3 linked regions of the Arabidopsis thaliana genome follow. The protein of the gene in region 1 interacts with the protein of each later gene in a biochemical or structural test. Each region holds a gene or a part of one and is shown in the gene's direction. Other genes may lie near its edges.

Evidence for each region. The genes of interacting proteins can lie anywhere in the genome.
Region 2: of the proteins of BIN2 (region 1) and EIF4B2, one has a biochemical effect on the other in vitro, tested with the Arabidopsis thaliana proteins (one study listed by BioGRID).
Region 3: of the proteins of BIN2 (region 1) and ARF2, one has a biochemical effect on the other in vitro, tested with the Arabidopsis thaliana proteins (one study listed by BioGRID).

The regions. Positions count from the first base shown.
Region 1 is NC_003075.7:10,294,198-10,299,917, forward strand, and holds BIN2 (Protein kinase superfamily protein), read left to right. Parts: upstream 1-1,940; 5' UTR 1,941-2,276; coding exon 2,277-2,291; intron 2,292-2,328; exon of another isoform or gene 2,329-2,880; coding exon 2,881-2,973; intron 2,974-3,064; coding exon 3,065-3,397; intron 3,398-3,489; coding exon 3,490-3,564; intron 3,565-3,657; coding exon 3,658-3,714; intron 3,715-3,808; coding exon 3,809-3,949; intron 3,950-4,039; coding exon 4,040-4,090; intron 4,091-4,170; coding exon 4,171-4,266; intron 4,267-4,352; coding exon 4,353-4,436; intron 4,437-4,518; coding exon 4,519-4,716; 3' UTR 4,717-5,192; downstream 5,193-5,720. UniProt on the Arabidopsis thaliana protein: Negative regulator in brassinosteroid signal transduction pathway important for plant growth. May be also involved in auxin signaling pathway. Phosphorylates and increases the degradation of BZR1 and BZR2/BES1 by the proteasome.
Region 2 is NC_003070.9:4,439,880-4,445,720, reverse strand, and holds EIF4B2 (eukaryotic initiation factor 4B2), read left to right. Parts: upstream 1-1,766; 5' UTR 1,767-2,200; coding exon 2,201-3,390; intron 3,391-4,120; coding exon 4,121-4,552; intron 4,553-4,766; coding exon 4,767-4,794; 3' UTR 4,795-5,317; downstream 5,318-5,841. Other genes in the region: AT1G13030 (sphere organelles protein-like protein), read left to right, coding at 1-101, 188-228, 308-499, 589-660, 754-903, 1,018-1,168, 1,247-1,437. UniProt on the Arabidopsis thaliana protein: Promotes the eIF4F and eIF4A RNA-dependent ATP-hydrolysis activity with different efficiency depending on mRNAs, thus providing mRNA discrimination during initiation of translation.
Region 3 is NC_003076.8:24,908,416-24,915,919, forward strand, and holds ARF2 (auxin response factor 2), read left to right. Parts: upstream 1-1,775; 5' UTR 1,776-2,195; exon of another isoform or gene 2,196-2,297; 5' UTR 2,298-2,443; coding exon 2,444-2,597; intron 2,598-2,687; coding exon 2,688-2,803; intron 2,804-2,928; coding exon 2,929-3,024; intron 3,025-3,108; coding exon 3,109-3,165; intron 3,166-3,259; coding exon 3,260-3,415; intron 3,416-3,517; coding exon 3,518-3,602; intron 3,603-3,696; coding exon 3,697-3,787; intron 3,788-3,866; coding exon 3,867-4,031; intron 4,032-4,165; coding exon 4,166-4,285; intron 4,286-4,378; coding exon 4,379-4,454; intron 4,455-4,530; coding exon 4,531-4,702; intron 4,703-4,798; coding exon 4,799-5,721; intron 5,722-5,812; coding exon 5,813-6,003; intron 6,004-6,087; coding exon 6,088-6,265; 3' UTR 6,266-6,305; intron 6,306-6,398; exon of another isoform or gene 6,399-6,401; coding exon of another isoform or gene 6,402-6,458; 3' UTR 6,459-6,980; downstream 6,981-7,504. UniProt on the Arabidopsis thaliana protein: Auxin response factors (ARFs) are transcriptional factors that bind specifically to the DNA sequence 5'-TGTCTC-3' found in the auxin-responsive promoter elements (AuxREs). Could act as transcriptional activator or repressor.

The DNA.
Region 1 (5,720 bases):
GACATGCAATTTACCGATTTCTTGACATTAGTCGAAAAACATTTGAAACTCGGTTATACAATGAGGTTATCGTTCAGGCCTCTGGAAAGAAAATCAATTCTATAATACTTCAATAACTTTTTAGTAAAACTAACTGGATCAACTGATGAATCATATATCAAAAAAACAAAAAAAAAAACTAACGGAGGTAGACAATAGTTTAGCTGGAATGCTTGAAGAAATGGCAAGAATATGCTTCGAGAAGTTATGATTTATGAAGAGGTTACCTGCAAATTTTTTCATTTCTTTTTGCCGACGGTTGGCTGTTAGTTAGGAAAAAGAATTTTTGTTATAGGATTTTCTCTTCCGTTTCGTACAAACCCAATCATTATTCTCGTCTTTATACTTAACTTTGCCTCTCATTTTCATGTTATCAATCTTTTAAATTAAATATATCGTCAATGACTGTTATGAATAATTAGTTCTTCATTCTCTGCCTTGGTTCGAACCTCAGTCACATGGTGCACGTTATTGTGATTTCCCATACCTCAAGAGTTATTCAAGATCCCTTACAGAAATATATTTATATAATCTTTTATCTAATGTAGTTATTTACAAACATGTATTATCTACCAAAATAAAAAGGGCTAAAAGCTTCTTGAGTGAGACCGCTTTTGGTTCGATTCATTTTCCTACACTCCAATAGTATTACACTATTGTATATAACAAGAATCGTGGGATTTGTTTAATCCGTACAATGAAACAAGAAAGATATACAATAACTTAATATCATTTTTTTTTGGGGACAATCTTAATATCATTTCTAATTTCTATAGAACCAAAAACACTCATAACAACTTAAACTTTGTTTTTTGTGAGAAAAATAACAACTTAATTACTAGTTACTACATTGACAATTTAACATCTTCAGCTAAAACCGAATGTATATGAACATTTATAATCTAGTTGCTATTGTATATACGATTGGATAATACGCATATCGACATTTAAATAATTGAGCCTGAAGATAATTCACAAATATGCAATGTAAATCCGTCCATACAGCCAAAAGTATGTATGTCCCATGCATAATTGAACAAAAAGAAATTATATTAATATTATTTTTGTTGTCTTCTGCAAATGCTAGGACTGCTATCATTATCATCATTGATTTTAATATTGATGTTTCCAGAAAAATAAATAAACAAATATAAAGAAAAAAACAAACACAATAAGTAAAGCTACACTATTAGGTAATAATTAAAGCTCATTTTTAAGTCTAAAATTTTAATTATAAAATAAAAACATTAAAAAGTTAAGACCCAAAGAAACATAAATGCTTTTTTCTTTCATCAATGTCAAAAAAGAAGTTTTCCCACCAAATGGTCAAACTTGGATCTTTGACAATATTGTTCCAATTTCATCATGCCCTATCTTTTCTATTTATACACATACCTTAGATATAATTATTAAACCCAAAATTTGTGTTAAGAAAAAAAATAGACCCAAAATTTGTGTTAAGAAAAAAAATAGACCCAAAATTTGGAATATATATATAAGTCACCGCTGGAAAAAAAATTATTGCAAGTAATTTCTTATATGAAATTGGAATGATAATATTTTGATCAAGTATCCATTACTAAAATTTTACAACGCTAGATAACGAGATTGCTTGAAGTCGAACTTGTGAACAAATTATAATAATGTAAAACTAACTTGTATTGACTAATCTTTGATTTTTTTTACAATAATGAGTGATATTACATTCATTTTATTAACTAAATACAACGAATATGATAAATATTCAGTCCTCTTATAAACTTTATGATAGTGAAAATTTGAGACATTGACAATTCTAGCATTCTAACATTTTATGAGATTACATGAAATGTCAATTTAGACCTTAAACCAAACGAATACATGATTCAAATTTGACCGACAAGTACATGATGCCTTCCCTTTGATCACGAAATTTCCACAAAGAGTCCGTGTCTGCGTAATTAACCAGCAATTTCAAGGGTGTTTACGTAATTGTAGCTTAACAAATAAAAAACACGAAAGAAGATGGCGAAGAAAACGGAAAGTAGTAGATAGATAAAGAAAGAGAAAGAGAAGAGCTGGATTCACATGGTCTTGTTCTTTCTCTCTCCTTCTTTTCTCATCTTGCGGCTTCCCTTTCTCTCTCTATCGCCACAATGATCATTACCAACCAAACTGATTGAAACTCATTTGTTCTCTCTCTCTCAAATCCACTCTCTCTCTTTCTTTTCTCTTCTCCTCTCTGTGTCTCTATCGCCATGGCTGATGATAAGGTAAAGCTGCTTGTGTTCCTTTTGCTGTCTTTTGAAGAAGAAGATCCTGTTTTTTGGTTTTTCCACATTTGACCCTTCAATTAGTTGTCTTGAGATTCCTGTTCTTACAGATGTTTTGTGATAATAAATCTAGTTTAGTTAGTACTCTTGAAGTTGAACGGTTTTGAGTTCTGGGTTTGTCCAAAGTTTTGAGCTTTCGTTAACTTTTTGACTTACCCTGAGATCTCTGAGGGTTTTGAGTTCTGAGCTTAGAATTTTCTAAGTTAGCTCTGTTGGGATGATCCATGTCTATATATCTCGATCTGTGATTAATCCAGAGTTTATACAAGCTGCTAGATCCATAATTGAACATAGATTAGTCCTTGTTTGGTTTGTTATATGTATTTGTTTTGTTTACCATTCTTTTGGCGTGACAAAAGTATATATTTTTAGTTTTAACTAAATCAGATTCACTCTGCGTAACGGTTATTTTGTAACCACTCTTTTAGGATAAAAGTTTCCTTCTTTAGACTTTTGATTCTCAGACAAGCATTATTCTTTTAGCTTTTGATAATGGTTTTGTGCTGATATTAAAGCTTTTCTCTTTCAGGAGATGCCTGCTGCTGTAGTTGATGGACATGATCAAGTCACTGGTCATATTATTTCCACCACAATCGGTGGCAAAAATGGTGAACCAAAACAGGTATTTTTAAGGCTTTTAACCAAATAGACTCACTTTTATGTATATGCAAGATTTTGATGGTTACCAATACATTTTTCTATGTTGTTGTTAGACAATTAGTTACATGGCGGAGCGAGTTGTTGGTACAGGCTCGTTCGGGATCGTTTTCCAAGCAAAATGTTTGGAGACTGGAGAAACCGTGGCGATAAAGAAGGTTTTGCAAGATAGAAGATACAAGAACCGAGAACTTCAGTTGATGCGTGTGATGGATCATCCGAATGTGGTTTGTTTGAAGCATTGCTTCTTTTCGACTACAAGTAAAGACGAGCTTTTCTTGAACTTGGTTATGGAGTATGTCCCTGAGAGCTTGTATCGAGTTCTGAAACATTATAGTAGTGCAAACCAAAGAATGCCTCTTGTCTATGTTAAACTTTACATGTATCAGGTAATAACAACACACATTCATATCTTCCATTTCCAAAGTTGATGTACATAAGATTGTTCTTAGGCTGATATTACTTCCTTTTGTTATGTTAGATCTTCCGGGGACTTGCTTACATTCACAATGTTGCTGGAGTTTGTCACAGAGATCTAAAGCCTCAAAATCTTCTGGTATGTGTAACATTTTAAGATTGAACTCTTTGTTTTTTTTCTTGCCTTTGTTTCTTTCGTTCTTAATGTATCTCTTCTGGTCTCTTTCTATAGGTTGATCCTCTTACTCATCAAGTCAAAATCTGTGACTTTGGCAGTGCGAAACAGCTCGTAAGACTTTGTGACATATAAACTCATTCGACTTGTAGCGGTTGTTGTTTTCTGTGATCTTGTCATTTACTGTTGAAATTTACTTTTGCTTCAGGTTAAAGGTGAAGCCAACATTTCTTACATCTGCTCACGATTCTACCGTGCACCCGAGCTCATATTTGGTGCCACTGAGTACACAACTTCTATTGATATCTGGTCTGCTGGTTGTGTTCTTGCTGAGCTTCTTCTTGGTCAGGTAAACAATTCTTTCAGTAACCAGCTTATTCAATCTCCATGTGTATATTTGCATTAGGACTCATTGTGACTATATCATGTTCTTATGCAGCCATTATTTCCCGGAGAAAATGCTGTGGATCAGCTCGTTGAAATTATAAAAGTAAGAATCTTTAAACGATGATTCCTTGCAAATTACATTCTTTGGCTACAAAATCCTCACTGTATAGTTGTTGTACACAGGTTCTTGGTACACCAACTCGAGAAGAAATCCGTTGTATGAATCCACATTACACAGATTTCAGGTTTCCACAGATAAAGGCACATCCCTGGCACAAGGTTAGTGTCTTTTCTCTTTTTGCATGTGTTCTTGTTTCAGTTTCTTTCTTCACACATCAACTGATCATAATTACGTTTTGGTTTAGATCTTCCACAAAAGGATGCCCCCAGAAGCGATTGATTTTGCATCAAGGCTGCTTCAATACTCTCCAAGTCTAAGATGCACAGCGGTAAGCATTGGTCTTGAGGTTTCTTCAGTCTCTAAGAATCCAACTGAATCCTTACTATATATTTTGTTTCCTCGTATTTCAGCTCGAAGCTTGTGCACATCCGTTCTTTGATGAACTCAGAGAACCAAACGCTCGTTTACCAAATGGACGGCCTTTCCCGCCTCTCTTCAACTTCAAACAAGAAGTAGCTGGATCATCACCTGAACTGGTCAACAAGTTGATTCCAGACCATATCAAGAGACAATTGGGTCTAAGCTTCTTGAATCAATCTGGAACTTAAAAGGGATCCTGCAAAAGACAACTACTTTTTTATATATAATGTACCATTACACGAGCCACAAGGTCGTAGTTGAAGGCAAACGTGGAGGACACAATTCAAAGTTTTTCCTCCTCAAACTCGTTCAGACAAAGCCAGCTGCTAGCAAAACCAACTCCCCCAAATCTGCGAAAACAAAAACTCTCCAGTGTTGTATCTGCTTATTTCTCTTCTCTTTTCAAGTTTGGTGAAAAACACAGTCTCCTCTTTGCTTCATTTCTTCTTTCTTTCCCCCTTATGTAAATGAGTTTAGTCAGAAGTTTTTTTATATAGTAAAGTTTGGGCAGAAGGTGAAGAATGTAATCAAAGTGATACTCTTTCAACGAGGAGCTTCTTTCAAACACTTTTTTTTTTTTTCAAACACTTCATGAATGGATACATGGTTTTGCTTTAAGCATAAGTATATTTGTATTAAATTTTCACTCAATTTAATTGCACGAATCATTACAAAAATAATATCTCGCTACTCATATAAATACCCTATAAATAAATAAGTGAATTTTTTTTATCTCTCATGGAAATTTGATTTATGTATTTATATGTTTTAAGATTCGAAGAAATTTTTAAATAATGAAAATTTACAAATATATAATTCTTAATTCAGAATTTCAGATATTGAATTACTTATTGGATTTTTAAAACAAAAAGAAAATTACATGACTTTTTTTTTCTTTTTTTTTTTTAAATATCTGTTAGTTCAAGTTAAAAGACCATACATTTTCTAAAGGCGGGACCTATATCAGGTTAAATTCATCTCCTTTTAGAAAAAAAATATATTTGGGAAAGGCTTTGATAGCAAGCAATTAAAGTATCCGAAACTAACAAAACCTATCTGGTCTTGGACTCTTAGTCTTTATATAAACAACATCAGATAGATCGAGAGACCATACGCAACAATTTACTAATTTCTCTTCTCCTTCGTTGCTTTTGAAACCCTAGTTATTATCGAGAGATCAAACACGTACGTA
Region 2 (5,841 bases), on another chromosome or scaffold:
AACTCTTGAAAATCAACAGGCAGAAGAAGTTAGTGATGGTTTCGGGGATGAAGTTGTACCTGTGGAAGTGAGGCCAGGCCACATACGCTTCAAGCCTCTCGGTAAATTATTATGTAAATTTCTCTCTGTATAGCTTTTGTGCGTTTGCAAGGCTCCTCACAGTTTCCCTTATATGCTTATTTTTCAGCTGGAACAGATGAAGCCTCTCTTGATAGTGAACCTCTTGTGGTATGACTTGACCCTATGTTTGTATCCTTAAAGCTTTGCCTAAGCTGAATCTGTAATGATTATGTCTAAATAATATTAGGAAAATGTCTTGTGGAATGGAAACATGACGAAGAAGAAGGGACAGAAATGGGGCACAGAGAAGTCAGGGTTTTCCAAACGATATGCTCAGGATTTTAATGAAGATGCTACGACACAGCCCGCTGAAGCAGAGACACTTGCTAATTGTCCGATTGATTATGAACAGCTTGTGGCTTACACTGGCTCAGTAAAGGTTTGTTTATAGTCTTTACTACCCCCAGCAGGTTGTTTATAGATTCAGCATTTTTAAACTCCTTAACTCCTGGTTTGTTAACTTTACAGAAAGGAGATGTTATTGCATACCGCCTCATTGAGTTAACATCATCTTGGACACCCGAGGTTTCCTCTTTTCGGGTAAAATTTCTGGCTCTCCTTTTAAGCCAAATTCGATCAATCAACGCTTATTCTGAGGAACTTATCCACTTTACAATATACTTCTTTTGATAGGTTGGGAAGATAAGCTACTATGATCCAGACTCCAAGATGGTGACTTTGATGCCTGTTCAAGAATTTCCAATCGAGAAAAAGACAGAAGAGGACGACGATTTCTGTATGCAACCTGATACATCTCTTTATAAAGAAGATGGATCCCTGGAGGTATGCTTCATGGTTTACATTATGTCATACATATCTTATGAACAAGAACATTCTTGTAGTTGTTTGCTTGCTAAGCATCAGAATTCTAATATAAGAAAGACTTTGCTTCTGCAGATAGAATTTTCTGCTCTGCTCGATGTTCGCAGTGTCAAAACTAGCAGCTCAGATTCTGCAGAAGTCGCCAAGTCAGCACTGCCCGAGCCTGACCAGTCAGCTAAAAAGCCAAAGCTAAGCGCAAACAAAGAATTGCAAACCCCTGCAAAAGGTAAATTTTCCATCAATCTTGGATCGACATTGTATTGAAATAGATGGAGTCTTATCTACTTTCATTGGAATATTGCAGAAAATGGAGAAGTGAGCCCTTGGGAAGAACTAAGTGAAGCTTTAAGTGCAAAGAAAGCAGCGTTGTCTCAGGCCAACAATGGGTGGAACAAGAAAGGGAGTTCAAGTGGAGGCTCATGGTCTTACAAGGCACTGCGAGGCAGTGCTATGGGTCCTGTAATGAACTATCTCAGATCTCAGAAAGAGATTTGAGAAACTAGGTCACATCTCTCTAGAAGAAACTCTGCTGCTTTTGTCTTCATTTTGGATATGAAAAACTCAGACAAAGGGTAGAGAAAGCCATTTTGTTTTTGATGCTGTAAACGCACAGTTTAGCTTTCTAAGGTTAAAGGTTTATGTATAGAGAAAAACGATGAATGTGTAATACTCTCTCAAGATCTTTTTGAATTTCACGTTTGAATCCATTCAAAAATCTGAAAAATGAATGTGTTATATATCATATCCATTTATGTCTTCATTTTCTATAATCACCCGATTTAAAGAAATGGATGCAATGTATATGTTTTGAAGTTGGTGGGAAAAACAAAGATAAATAATTTGATAAGAATTGGCTAAAAACAAAGACTCATGACCGTTCGTTTCCTGTACAAGTCAACCGTCACTTGCTAACACGTCGCGTGAACCACAACGGCACAACGTTCAAGCCATTAACTTCCTCGTAAAACTGATTTCTACGTGTACCACACGCTCCAATACGTCGCGTATTGCTATCTCTCTTTCTCCGTCCATTGCTCCTCCGTTCCGAAACCTACAAACAAACCAGCTTCACAAGGAAATAAATCGATTTTTACATATAAAAAATTTCATCTTTAGGCGACGACGAGAGAATCTTTAGATTCGATTTCTCACTCGGAGCTACTTTGAATTGGAATCTTTAGATTCGTCACTCTCAATTTCTGTCCTGCGTTTTTCAGATCTGGGGGAATCTCCGAATTTGGAATTGGAAAATTCACAGATGTCGAAACCTTGGGGTGGAATCGGCGCATGGGCTGATGAGGCTGAGCGTGCCGATGAAGAGCAAGCTGCTGAAGCTACAGCCACGGCGGCAGATTCACAGAGTTTCCCGAGTCTGAAAGAGGCTGCGACTGCTAAGTCTTCTAAGAAGAAGAAGAAGATGACTTTATCGGAGTTTACCAAAGGAGCATACACTGCTCCGAGTTCTGCTGGATTGACGAGAGAGCAGATGCTTCAGCTACCTACTGGTCCAAGACAACGTTCTGAGGATGAAATGCAACCTGGTCGTCTCGGTGGTGGATTCTCTTCTTATGGTGGAGGAAGGTCTAGTGGACCTCCGGGAAGAATGTCACGAGATCGAGAGGATTCTGATGGGTCTTGGGGCGGTGGTGGTGGTGGGAGGAGATCTTATGGTGGATTTGATGATGATCAGAGGGGATCTAATTCTAGGGTTTCTGATTTCCCACAAGTTTCTAGGGCTGATGAGGATGATGATTGGGGAAAAGGAAAGAAATCGCTTCCTTCGTTTGATCAAGGACGTCAAGGTAGTCGTTATGGTGGTGGGGGAGGTAGTTTTGGTGGAGGAGGAGGAGGTGGTGCTGGCAGTTATGGCGGCGGTGGTGCTGGTGCTGGTAGTGGAGGTGGAGGTGGATTCTCTAAAGCTGATGAGGTTGATAATTGGGCAGCGGGTAAAGCAAAATCATCTACGTTTGGGTCGGGTTTCCGTGAATCCGGACCAGAGCCTGACCGATGGGCTCGAGGAGTCCTTCCTTCTGGTGGTGGGGTTCAGGAAGAGCGACGTCGTCTTGTATTTGAACCACGAAAGGCTGATACAGAAGTGAGTGAAACTCCAACTGCTGTGAAGACGAGTAAGCCGAGTCCATTTGGAGCAGCTAGACCGAGAGAGCAAGTTTTGGCGGAGAAAGGATTGGACTGGAAGAAACTTGACTCGGATATTGAGGCCAAGAAGGGACAAACAAGCAGACCATCAAGCGCGCAATCGAGCAGACCATCAAGTGCTCAATCTAACAGGTCTGAGAGTTCAGCATTGAACAATGTGGAGAATGTGGTGAAACCGAGACCAAAGGTGAATCCTTTTGGTGATGCAAAACCTCGGGAAGTATTGCTGGAGGAACAAGGGAAAGATTGGCGCAAGATTGATTCTGAACTCGAGCATCGCAGGGTTGACAGGTCCTTATTCATTTGGATTTTCTTTCTTTTCTCTGAGCAATGTGAATTTCCGTCAATTCTATGTTGCTGCCATGGGTTGAATGTTAATTATGTCTCAAATAATCCGCTGTTCAACATACTGAATCAGAAAAGTTTGATCTTTTAAGTGATATGAACTGGTGAACCATTAGAGGATAGTAAATTATATTCAAAGTAATAGCTTTAGGTAATTTTGCCACTTCGGCTTATTATTTCAAATTCAAAATGGAAACTAATTGAATGATTTATCTACTTAAGTTTTAGTGTATTCGTGGTTTTCTTTTGATGACATGTTGAATGAATGTCTTCTTAAGCATCTCGGCATCAGACTTTTATCTGAAAGTTGCTTCATTACCAAATATATGCATTGCCCATTTCTTTGGCAGATTGATTGATCTTTGTTCTCTCAACTGTGCTCTTTTTGAACTTATTTTGTTCCTATATCTTTTTTATTCAGCCTCCTTGGCATTTATAGAATTGCATAACATGTAACATGTAACTTGTAAGACAGCTCTTGCATTTTTTGGTATCTCATGCTGTCACATTCGTCTGAGTTTTGTGTCTTCTTTTGTTAACTCTTTTGTGAGCTCTGTGATGCCTTGTTGGTAGATAAATAACTTCTCTGTGATTATGGTGATGACTTTCTAGATCATCTCTTGATTAGCTATGGTCTCACTTTTCATCTCGGTCTCTTGAAACACAAAAATTTCAGGCCTGAAACAGAGGGAGAGAGGATGTTGAAGGAAGAGATTGAAGAACTACGGAAGAAACTCGAGAAGGAGGCAGCCATTGCACCTGAGAGCAAGGAATCTCAACAGGAATCCGACAGTAATCACCAAAATCTACCGGATCTCATACGTGAGAAAGAAAAGAACCTAGACTTACTGATCCGTGAGCTGGACGACAAAGTCAGGTTCAGGCCACGAGCAGTTGAGAGGCCTGGATCCAGTGCAAGCAGAGGCGGTTCCTATTCAGAAAGACCACATTCACGGGCTGGATCAATCGATGAGTCTAGGAGTGTTGAATCCATGGAAAGACCTAGATCACATGGCACAGGCGATAATTGGCCAAGACCAGTAGATGATCGAAGAAACTTCCAAGGAAGCAAGGAACGTGGATTCTTCAACAACAGAAACTTCGACAGGTTAGCCTTTTACATCTGATTCAATCCCATTCCAAGGAACAGACTTACAATATACTCGCATTCAATAGCTTCCTTCCTACTTATCTGGGGTTGACATGAACCCAAAAGTTAGTATAAAGATCCAAACTTGGGTCATTCCTTATAATGTTTGCTTCTGTGTATCAAGATCTTGAGATGCGAGTAAACTGACATTTCAGATTTTCGGGTTTCACAGGTCATCGTCAGCAAGGGAAGGATGGTAAAAAAGGAAAGGAAGGATGAATGTGGAATGAGATTGGAGTTTGGCTGACACACCATTCTCAGATTTTGAAGAAGACAGATAAGAGAGAAGCTTCAATAACATTAATAAGAAAAATTCATCTCCTTTTTTAAAAAACCTAATTAGGGGTTTTTTCTTTTTTTGTTTTTACTGGTTCATCTTCGGTATTGAAGCCTAATGGTTTCTTCTTCTACTTGTTTTTTTGGTCATTTGCTCGTGAAACGGCAGAGCACAAGACTTGTGACAATTGATGTGTCTTCAGAATTTTTGGAGACAGAGACTCTGTTCTGTTCCTTCTTCTCTGTTTAAACATTCTATTTACCACTACTGTTTCTAATTGTGTCTTATTGTCATCTTCTATTTCAAATTTGTGTAGCTTTGTTTTATAGTCAAGGGCTTGTGTCATTTTGGTTAAAGTGAGATTTCACATTTTTTGATTCGTTGCACATAACGTGACGACAATGTTGAGCAATGAAGAAGACTTGGAAGGTAAAGACCATTGTTCCAGACCAGAAAGGTTTAGCCATGGATTCACGCAGTACAGCTTGGAAAGGCTATATATCTACTTATTCTCCTTGTTCCAGATCAAATTTGAAGGTAAGGATATAGTGTAAAAAAGAATGCGACTTCACTGGGGATCGAACCCAGAATCTCTGGTTTCGTAGACCAGCGCCTTATCCATTGGGCCATGAAGTCGTTTTGTTCTTTTTCCTCAAAGTTATTATATCACATACAACAATATTGTAACTTCCAAAGAGAACATATTTGGCCATTATATTCACTACCATTATTAAAAAAACACATTCTTGTTTCGGATTTTGGACATTACACCGATGAGATCTTGTGTCGAGGATGAGGATGTTAGGATTCTACAATAGGAGTATGAAGCGATTAATACTAATACAATATATAAAATAGGATGAGTTAACTTATTGTCAATTAGTTTTACGTTAGATGCTCATGATTCCTAACATAGGAGAGGTTGTAACATTTCTCATAGACGAGTGTTTTCACTGAAAACTCAGAAGCC
Region 3 (7,504 bases), on another chromosome or scaffold:
GTCTCGTTTTCCTTGTCATATCGCGTGTGACGTGTTATTGGCTTATTGCTGAACAGTCTTCTTTTTTATTTTCCATCGTTATCCTGATTTTTTTTTTTTTCCAAATTTGATTTTCATGGTTTGTAATTTTGCAATAGATTTTGTGTTTCACAGAGAGATAGTTTACGTGTTGTTAAAAATAATTTGTGCAAAATAGTGTGCGTGTGTTAAATATTAAACGATATATAATAATTAGAAGAAAATAAAAAGTTTTGTCGCGATTAGTTATTTGATATTTACCTTGTTCTTTTGTTTATCGCTGCGACAAGCACCGACGGTATAAAATATAAAGAAAAAAAGAAAGAGAGATGAAGGTGAGATGAATGAAAGAGTCGCAGCGACAGATCTGAAGAGATAGGAGAAAGGGAATTTGAGACGCTGAAAATTCCAGCGTCTACGGAATGGCCGAATTACAGTCGATGCGGCAGAGATGAAAAAAATGAGAAATGAAAGTGAAAAAGAGATGAGAACTTTTTTTGGGTCGCAGGTAGCTGACGCAGCAATCAACAAAAGAACATGGCCAACGTTTTAGTAGATACTACTATAAAAGAAAAAGGTTGATTTAATTCATTCGTAATTTGGACTTAATTTTTTTTTAGGAACACTAATTAATCTTATTTGCCAGCTGTATGAGTGGACTACAATAAACTCTTGTCTATAAACCAGATTTTCTTCCTTTTTAACGCTTCCACTTACAACAATATATGTAAATATGTAATTATGACGGGGCATACGGAAATTTAATTTTTGAAGCAGATTCATCCCATTAGCCAGCTGTATTAAGTGGTAATCCAAGAGTTAATTTAGTTGTTCAGCAAATGATTTTAGATAAAATCAACTACTAGTTTAAAATAACTATCGAATGACTGTTAAGGCTTCGTATTTTTTGTTCTGCCATCAGGATATCATAAATATGGTTGAGGTTCGTATAATATTCGACGATCTTTTATATATCTGAGTTGTAATTGAATTAGAGAAAATAAAAAACAGATAATGAAACGTCTTTGTTTTTCCATAAAAAGAAAAACAGGGTAAATTAAAGTACGAGAGATTCACGAGACGAAAATTCCTAGAGGCGCACGATAGCCAAAAGACCATAGAAAATGACATCCGAAATATCTTTAAAATGCTAAAATGCACATATTTTTCTGGTGCCACGTAGCATTTTTCTCCCTCTCTCGTTCTCTCTACGTCCACCCAGACCTGCCTGTTCACAGCACGACAAAGCCACTTCCCAATAAAAACACAACACCTTTCCCATTGACGCTCTCTTTCCCAAACACCGTTATCCTCTTTACCCAATCAAAAGTTGACGCTTGCTCACGACTTGTTGACGCCGTTAGTCCCATCTAAAAAAGTAAAGCAGCCTTTCTTACTTGCTAATCCCCTCTACACATTTAATTTATTTTCTCCCCTAATGGATTTTTTTTGGCAACTTGAGTATTTATTTTTCAACTCACAGTAACTGTAAATAAATAAAAGTATTCAACTCACAGTCACCAGTAAATAAATACTACCAGACCATAGTTTTTTCAAGAATTGTTTTGGTCAACAATTTTAGGATGACTTAAATTGCTATATTTCTGGGGAAATACGACTTGGAAATGTCTGCAATTTGGGTCTTTTCTTCAATTTATCTTCTCCAATTTGTTTTTTAAAAAATTAAATTTTAGAAAAGGATATGTCAATTTTTTCTATTGAAAAGGCTTTATTAAAAAATAAGAAAAAGTGGAGGAAAGAAAATAAAATCGTCACTTGTCTTTGGTTTTGTGAGGTCGCAGACCCTGGTCCCCCGGAAATGGTTACAACCGGTAATAGCCGGTATGAAAGAGGGAATGGTAACCGGTGAATGCCGGTTATCCATATGGGTTAGAAGTTTACCGCGGTTGAAATGATTGAAGCTGAGTTTTGACTACCTCTGGTTAAGCCCATTGGTCGCCTCATACCCAGAAAAACAAAAGGATAGGAAAGACGAAGAAATAAAAAGAGAGAGAATGTTAGAGAGACAAACTCTGAGAGACAAAACAAGAGAAAATCGCTCGTCGTCGGTATTCAAGCGTCTGTGACTCCGATAAAGCCTAGACTAGCGAGGACGGCGAGAGAGAGAGAGAGAGAGCTTTGGAGTTGTCGTATCTCTAAATCGGAGGCAATTTGAGGTGAAATTGGTGGTTTTATCGTTTGATTCTAGGGTTTATCTTCTCTGATAGTTTTATCGAGTAATGTCAAGGAGCTAAACTAGTGGTGATTGTGTTTGTTAGTGAGATAAAGACAAAGGAAGGAATCAAGTGGACTACCGAAGCGAGTTTTGAGCTTTTTCAGAGACGGATTTGGAGATTTCTTGTTGATATCGTCTGCTTAGAGGCTTATTTGGTACCAGATGAAACAGATCTGAGCTTCGGAAGGTATGGCGAGTTCGGAGGTTTCAATGAAAGGTAATCGTGGAGGAGATAACTTCTCCTCCTCTGGTTTTAGTGACCCTAAGGAGACTAGAAATGTCTCCGTCGCCGGCGAGGGGCAAAAAAGTAATTCTACCCGATCCGCTGCGGCTGAGCGTGCTTGTAAGTCTCCGTTTCTTAGGGTTTCTTAAGCTTGGTTTTGGTTACAGACTGACTTGATCTAATTTATCTTCTTCTTCTTCGTCTTCATAGTGGACCCTGAGGCTGCTCTTTACAGAGAGCTATGGCACGCTTGTGCTGGTCCGCTTGTGACGGTTCCTAGACAAGACGACCGAGTCTTCTATTTTCCTCAAGGACACATCGAGCAGGTGAGATATTTCATCTATGAGTTCTTGCTATTTTTGGCTAAATCTTTGAGTTAACCCCTCTGTGATTCGTACCTGTTGAGATATTTTCTAATGAACTTTGTCGGTTTCCATTGTTTTATGATTAGGTGGAGGCTTCGACGAACCAGGCGGCAGAACAACAGATGCCTCTCTATGATCTTCCGTCAAAGCTTCTCTGTCGAGTTATTAATGTAGATTTAAAGGTAGGTTTCTTTAACTTCTTGGAAAATTTTGGTTTCTGTGTCTTGGATTGTCAGCTAACAAGAGTTTTGTTTATGATTTTACAGGCAGAGGCAGATACAGATGAAGTTTATGCGCAGATTACTCTTCTTCCTGAGGCTAATGTAAGTTTTGTTTTCTGATTTATTGGTTTGAGTGTTGTAGAGGTGATCTTATTCTTCAAGATGCTGAATTCTATATATTTTTTGTTCCATACAGCAAGACGAGAATGCAATTGAGAAAGAAGCGCCTCTTCCTCCACCTCCGAGGTTCCAGGTGCATTCGTTCTGCAAAACCTTGACTGCATCCGACACAAGTACACATGGTGGATTTTCTGTTCTTAGGCGACATGCGGATGAATGTCTCCCACCTCTGGTTGGTGTTTCATTTGCGCTTCTAACTATCTATTCATTGGCTTATTTTTCCTGAATTTTGTTCTAAGATTGCCTTCAATTCATTTTTTGTTTCTTCCCTCAGGATATGTCTCGACAGCCTCCCACTCAAGAGTTAGTTGCAAAGGATTTGCATGCAAATGAGTGGCGATTCAGACATATATTCCGGGGTATAGGAATCTGTAACTTTTTTATTTTCTGTTTTTCTCGAGTCTGTGTGTCATCAAACTTATCTGGTTGTTGATGTTTGTGATAATGGACCAGGTCAACCACGGAGGCATTTGCTACAGAGTGGGTGGAGTGTGTTTGTTAGCTCCAAAAGGCTAGTTGCAGGCGATGCGTTTATATTTCTAAGGTTTGTGGATTTTAGTTCATTGTTTTCTTTAGCTGTATCTGTTAGTTTCTATAATGTGGAATATCTTAATCTTCTACAGGGGCGAGAATGGAGAATTAAGAGTTGGTGTAAGGCGTGCGATGCGACAACAAGGAAACGTGCCGTCTTCTGTTATATCTAGCCATAGCATGCATCTTGGAGTACTGGCCACCGCATGGCATGCCATTTCAACAGGGACTATGTTTACAGTCTACTACAAACCCAGGTTTGTATTTGTATTAGCTCACAAAACAGCTTTCAGTTTTTTGAGCTCTTTGCTTTGTATGTCTCTATATGTCTGATGCTTGGTAGTGAATCACTCTACTAAATTTTCATGCGGTGTTGTTTTGTTTAATACAGGACGAGCCCATCTGAGTTTATTGTTCCGTTCGATCAGTATATGGAGTCTGTTAAGAATAACTACTCTATTGGCATGAGATTCAAAATGAGATTTGAAGGCGAAGAGGCTCCTGAGCAGAGGTAAAACCTGTCTTCTGCTTTTGAAATATGTTAGCTCTTGAGCCTTTTTCTCTTGGAATAACGAACCTAACAAGTTGTATTGATTTATATTAGGTTTACTGGCACAATCGTTGGGATTGAAGAGTCTGATCCTACTAGGTGGCCAAAATCAAAGTGGAGATCCCTCAAGGTATGACCTAGTTTCTAGAGAGGATCAAGACTATTGTTTGAATATAATGAATGCTGATTGTTCAATTGTCTTTCAGGTGAGATGGGATGAGACTTCTAGTATTCCTCGACCTGATAGAGTATCTCCGTGGAAAGTAGAGCCAGCTCTTGCTCCTCCTGCTTTGAGTCCTGTTCCAATGCCTAGGCCTAAGAGGCCCAGATCAAATATAGCACCTTCATCTCCTGACTCTTCGATGCTTACCAGAGAAGGTAATGTCTTCCCCTTCCACTGTAGTACACATAGTAGTGCGTCTGAAACTTAATTGAACTTGTCAGTGGGAGTCTAATTCATTGTACACAAAACAGGTACAACTAAGGCAAACATGGACCCTTTACCAGCAAGCGGACTTTCAAGGGTCTTGCAAGGTCAAGAATACTCGACCTTGAGGACGAAACATACTGAGAGTGTAGAGTGTGATGCTCCTGAGAATTCTGTTGTCTGGCAATCTTCAGCGGATGATGATAAGGTTGACGTGGTTTCGGGTTCTAGAAGATATGGATCTGAGAACTGGATGTCCTCAGCCAGGCATGAACCTACTTACACAGATTTGCTCTCCGGCTTTGGGACTAACATAGATCCATCCCATGGTCAGCGGATACCTTTTTATGACCATTCATCATCACCTTCTATGCCTGCAAAGAGAATCTTGAGTGATTCAGAAGGCAAGTTCGATTATCTTGCTAACCAGTGGCAGATGATACACTCTGGTCTCTCCCTGAAGTTACATGAATCTCCTAAGGTACCTGCAGCAACTGATGCGTCTCTCCAAGGGCGATGCAATGTTAAATACAGCGAATATCCTGTTCTTAATGGTCTATCGACTGAGAATGCTGGTGGTAACTGGCCAATACGTCCACGTGCTTTGAATTATTATGAGGAAGTGGTCAATGCTCAAGCGCAAGCTCAGGCTAGGGAGCAAGTAACAAAACAACCCTTCACGATACAAGAGGAGACAGCAAAGTCAAGAGAAGGGAACTGCAGGCTCTTTGGCATTCCTCTGACCAACAACATGAATGGGACAGACTCAACCATGTCTCAGAGAAACAACTTGAATGATGCTGCGGGGCTTACACAGATAGCATCACCAAAGGTTCAGGACCTTTCAGATCAGTCAAAAGGGTCAAAATCAACAAACGATCATCGTGAACAGGGAAGACCATTCCAGACTAATAATCCTCATCCGAAGGATGCTCAAACGAAAACCAACTCAAGTAGGAGTTGCACAAAGGTAAATTTTTGCAATATGTAGCACAAAGTGTATGAGGTTGTGATAACCCTTGAATCACTTTTCAACTAACACATGACACATTGATGTAAAGGTTCACAAGCAGGGAATTGCACTTGGCCGTTCAGTGGATCTTTCAAAGTTCCAAAACTATGAGGAGTTAGTCGCTGAGCTGGACAGGCTGTTTGAGTTCAATGGAGAGTTGATGGCTCCTAAGAAAGATTGGTTGATAGTTTACACAGATGAAGAGAATGATATGATGCTTGTTGGTGACGATCCTTGGCAGTAAGATTTTGCAAATTTTCCATCTTAGTTTATATCGATGTTAGTGTTTTTCTTATAACACTGACACAATGATCTCTCTTGCAGGGAGTTTTGTTGCATGGTTCGCAAAATCTTCATATACACGAAAGAGGAAGTGAGGAAGATGAACCCGGGGACTTTAAGCTGTAGGAGCGAGGAAGAAGCAGTTGTTGGGGAAGGATCAGATGCAAAGGACGCCAAGTCTGCATCAAATCCTTCATTGTCCAGCGCTGGGAACTCTTAAACAAACAAAATAACCAACAACCCTTTTGCTGCAAGCCGAGGTATGTAAAAGCTTTTGAGATATTAGTAGACTAGAGACACAGCCAAAAGTTTATGTCATTACATTCGACTGATGTTTGTTCTGTTAATGACAGCAGGATGGGGGTCGATTGGTGGAGACTGGAGAGCAAAATGGGATGATGGGTTTAAGATAAGATATTAAAAATGCAATTTTTGAAGTATTTTGTTGGCCACTTAGATAATTAGCATCTTCCATCACCCTTATTATCTATCTAATAATAATTAATAGATATTATAAAGTAAAACATAAAAAGGTTACAGGTATTATATAGTAGAATATGAAAAGCTCTTTTATAAGTAGAATATGATGGTGTGGAGTTGTAGTCGGAGGCTGGTATCGGTTCTTTTTATGGATGTATTTTTTTCCTTCTTCCAAAGATCTCTTGAAGTCTTTTTATTGTTTATATTAATCCCAATGTACATAAGTTTTCAAGCTCTTGCCCTTTTTTAATTATCTTGTCGATTCACATTTTCTCAACTTATTCTCTTGCTGACTTTTGGTTTTGGTCTGGTCTTGTCGGTATTTTGCAGCTTTTCGTATTAGACGGTGATATAGATATATTCACGAAACTGTAAGACCTCTTAACAAACGGATTCCATTTCGAATCCTTACATTAAATAAATTCGGATGTTTCTAGCTACAATCTGAAAATTAAGCTTGCAATGAGCAAAACAGTGAGCCCTCTTTTTAAAGTACTTTGAAAAAAAAACTGGATGCTAAAATTTGTTGTTTCCCTTGTAACAATGAGGAAAACAAGGTTTGGGTTTTCAAGTTTATTTCTCTAGCTATGCTCATGTCCATATAAACGAATCCGCTGAAAAACAGAAAGATGACACCATGGCAAACACATGATCAAAGTTTCGTGATCTATGGTTTCATTCTATCATATGGCTCTTCATAACCAAACTTGTATTTAGGTAGAACTCTATCTAAATCAAGACTTTAAACCATATGAAACACACAACACCGGCAACTCTGGCATACTACCGCCTTAAGCCGACAATCTCAATCGTCACAGAAACACAACAAACATTTTATCAAACTTGCTGAGTTTATGGAAAAACTTTCAATTGTATCAGTTTATGCCATTATCTTACAACAATACAAAACTGCATAGTTAAATAAGTGGTTCTCTAGCTCCTTGTAATTCTACCATCGACACATATAGTGATAGGTCTG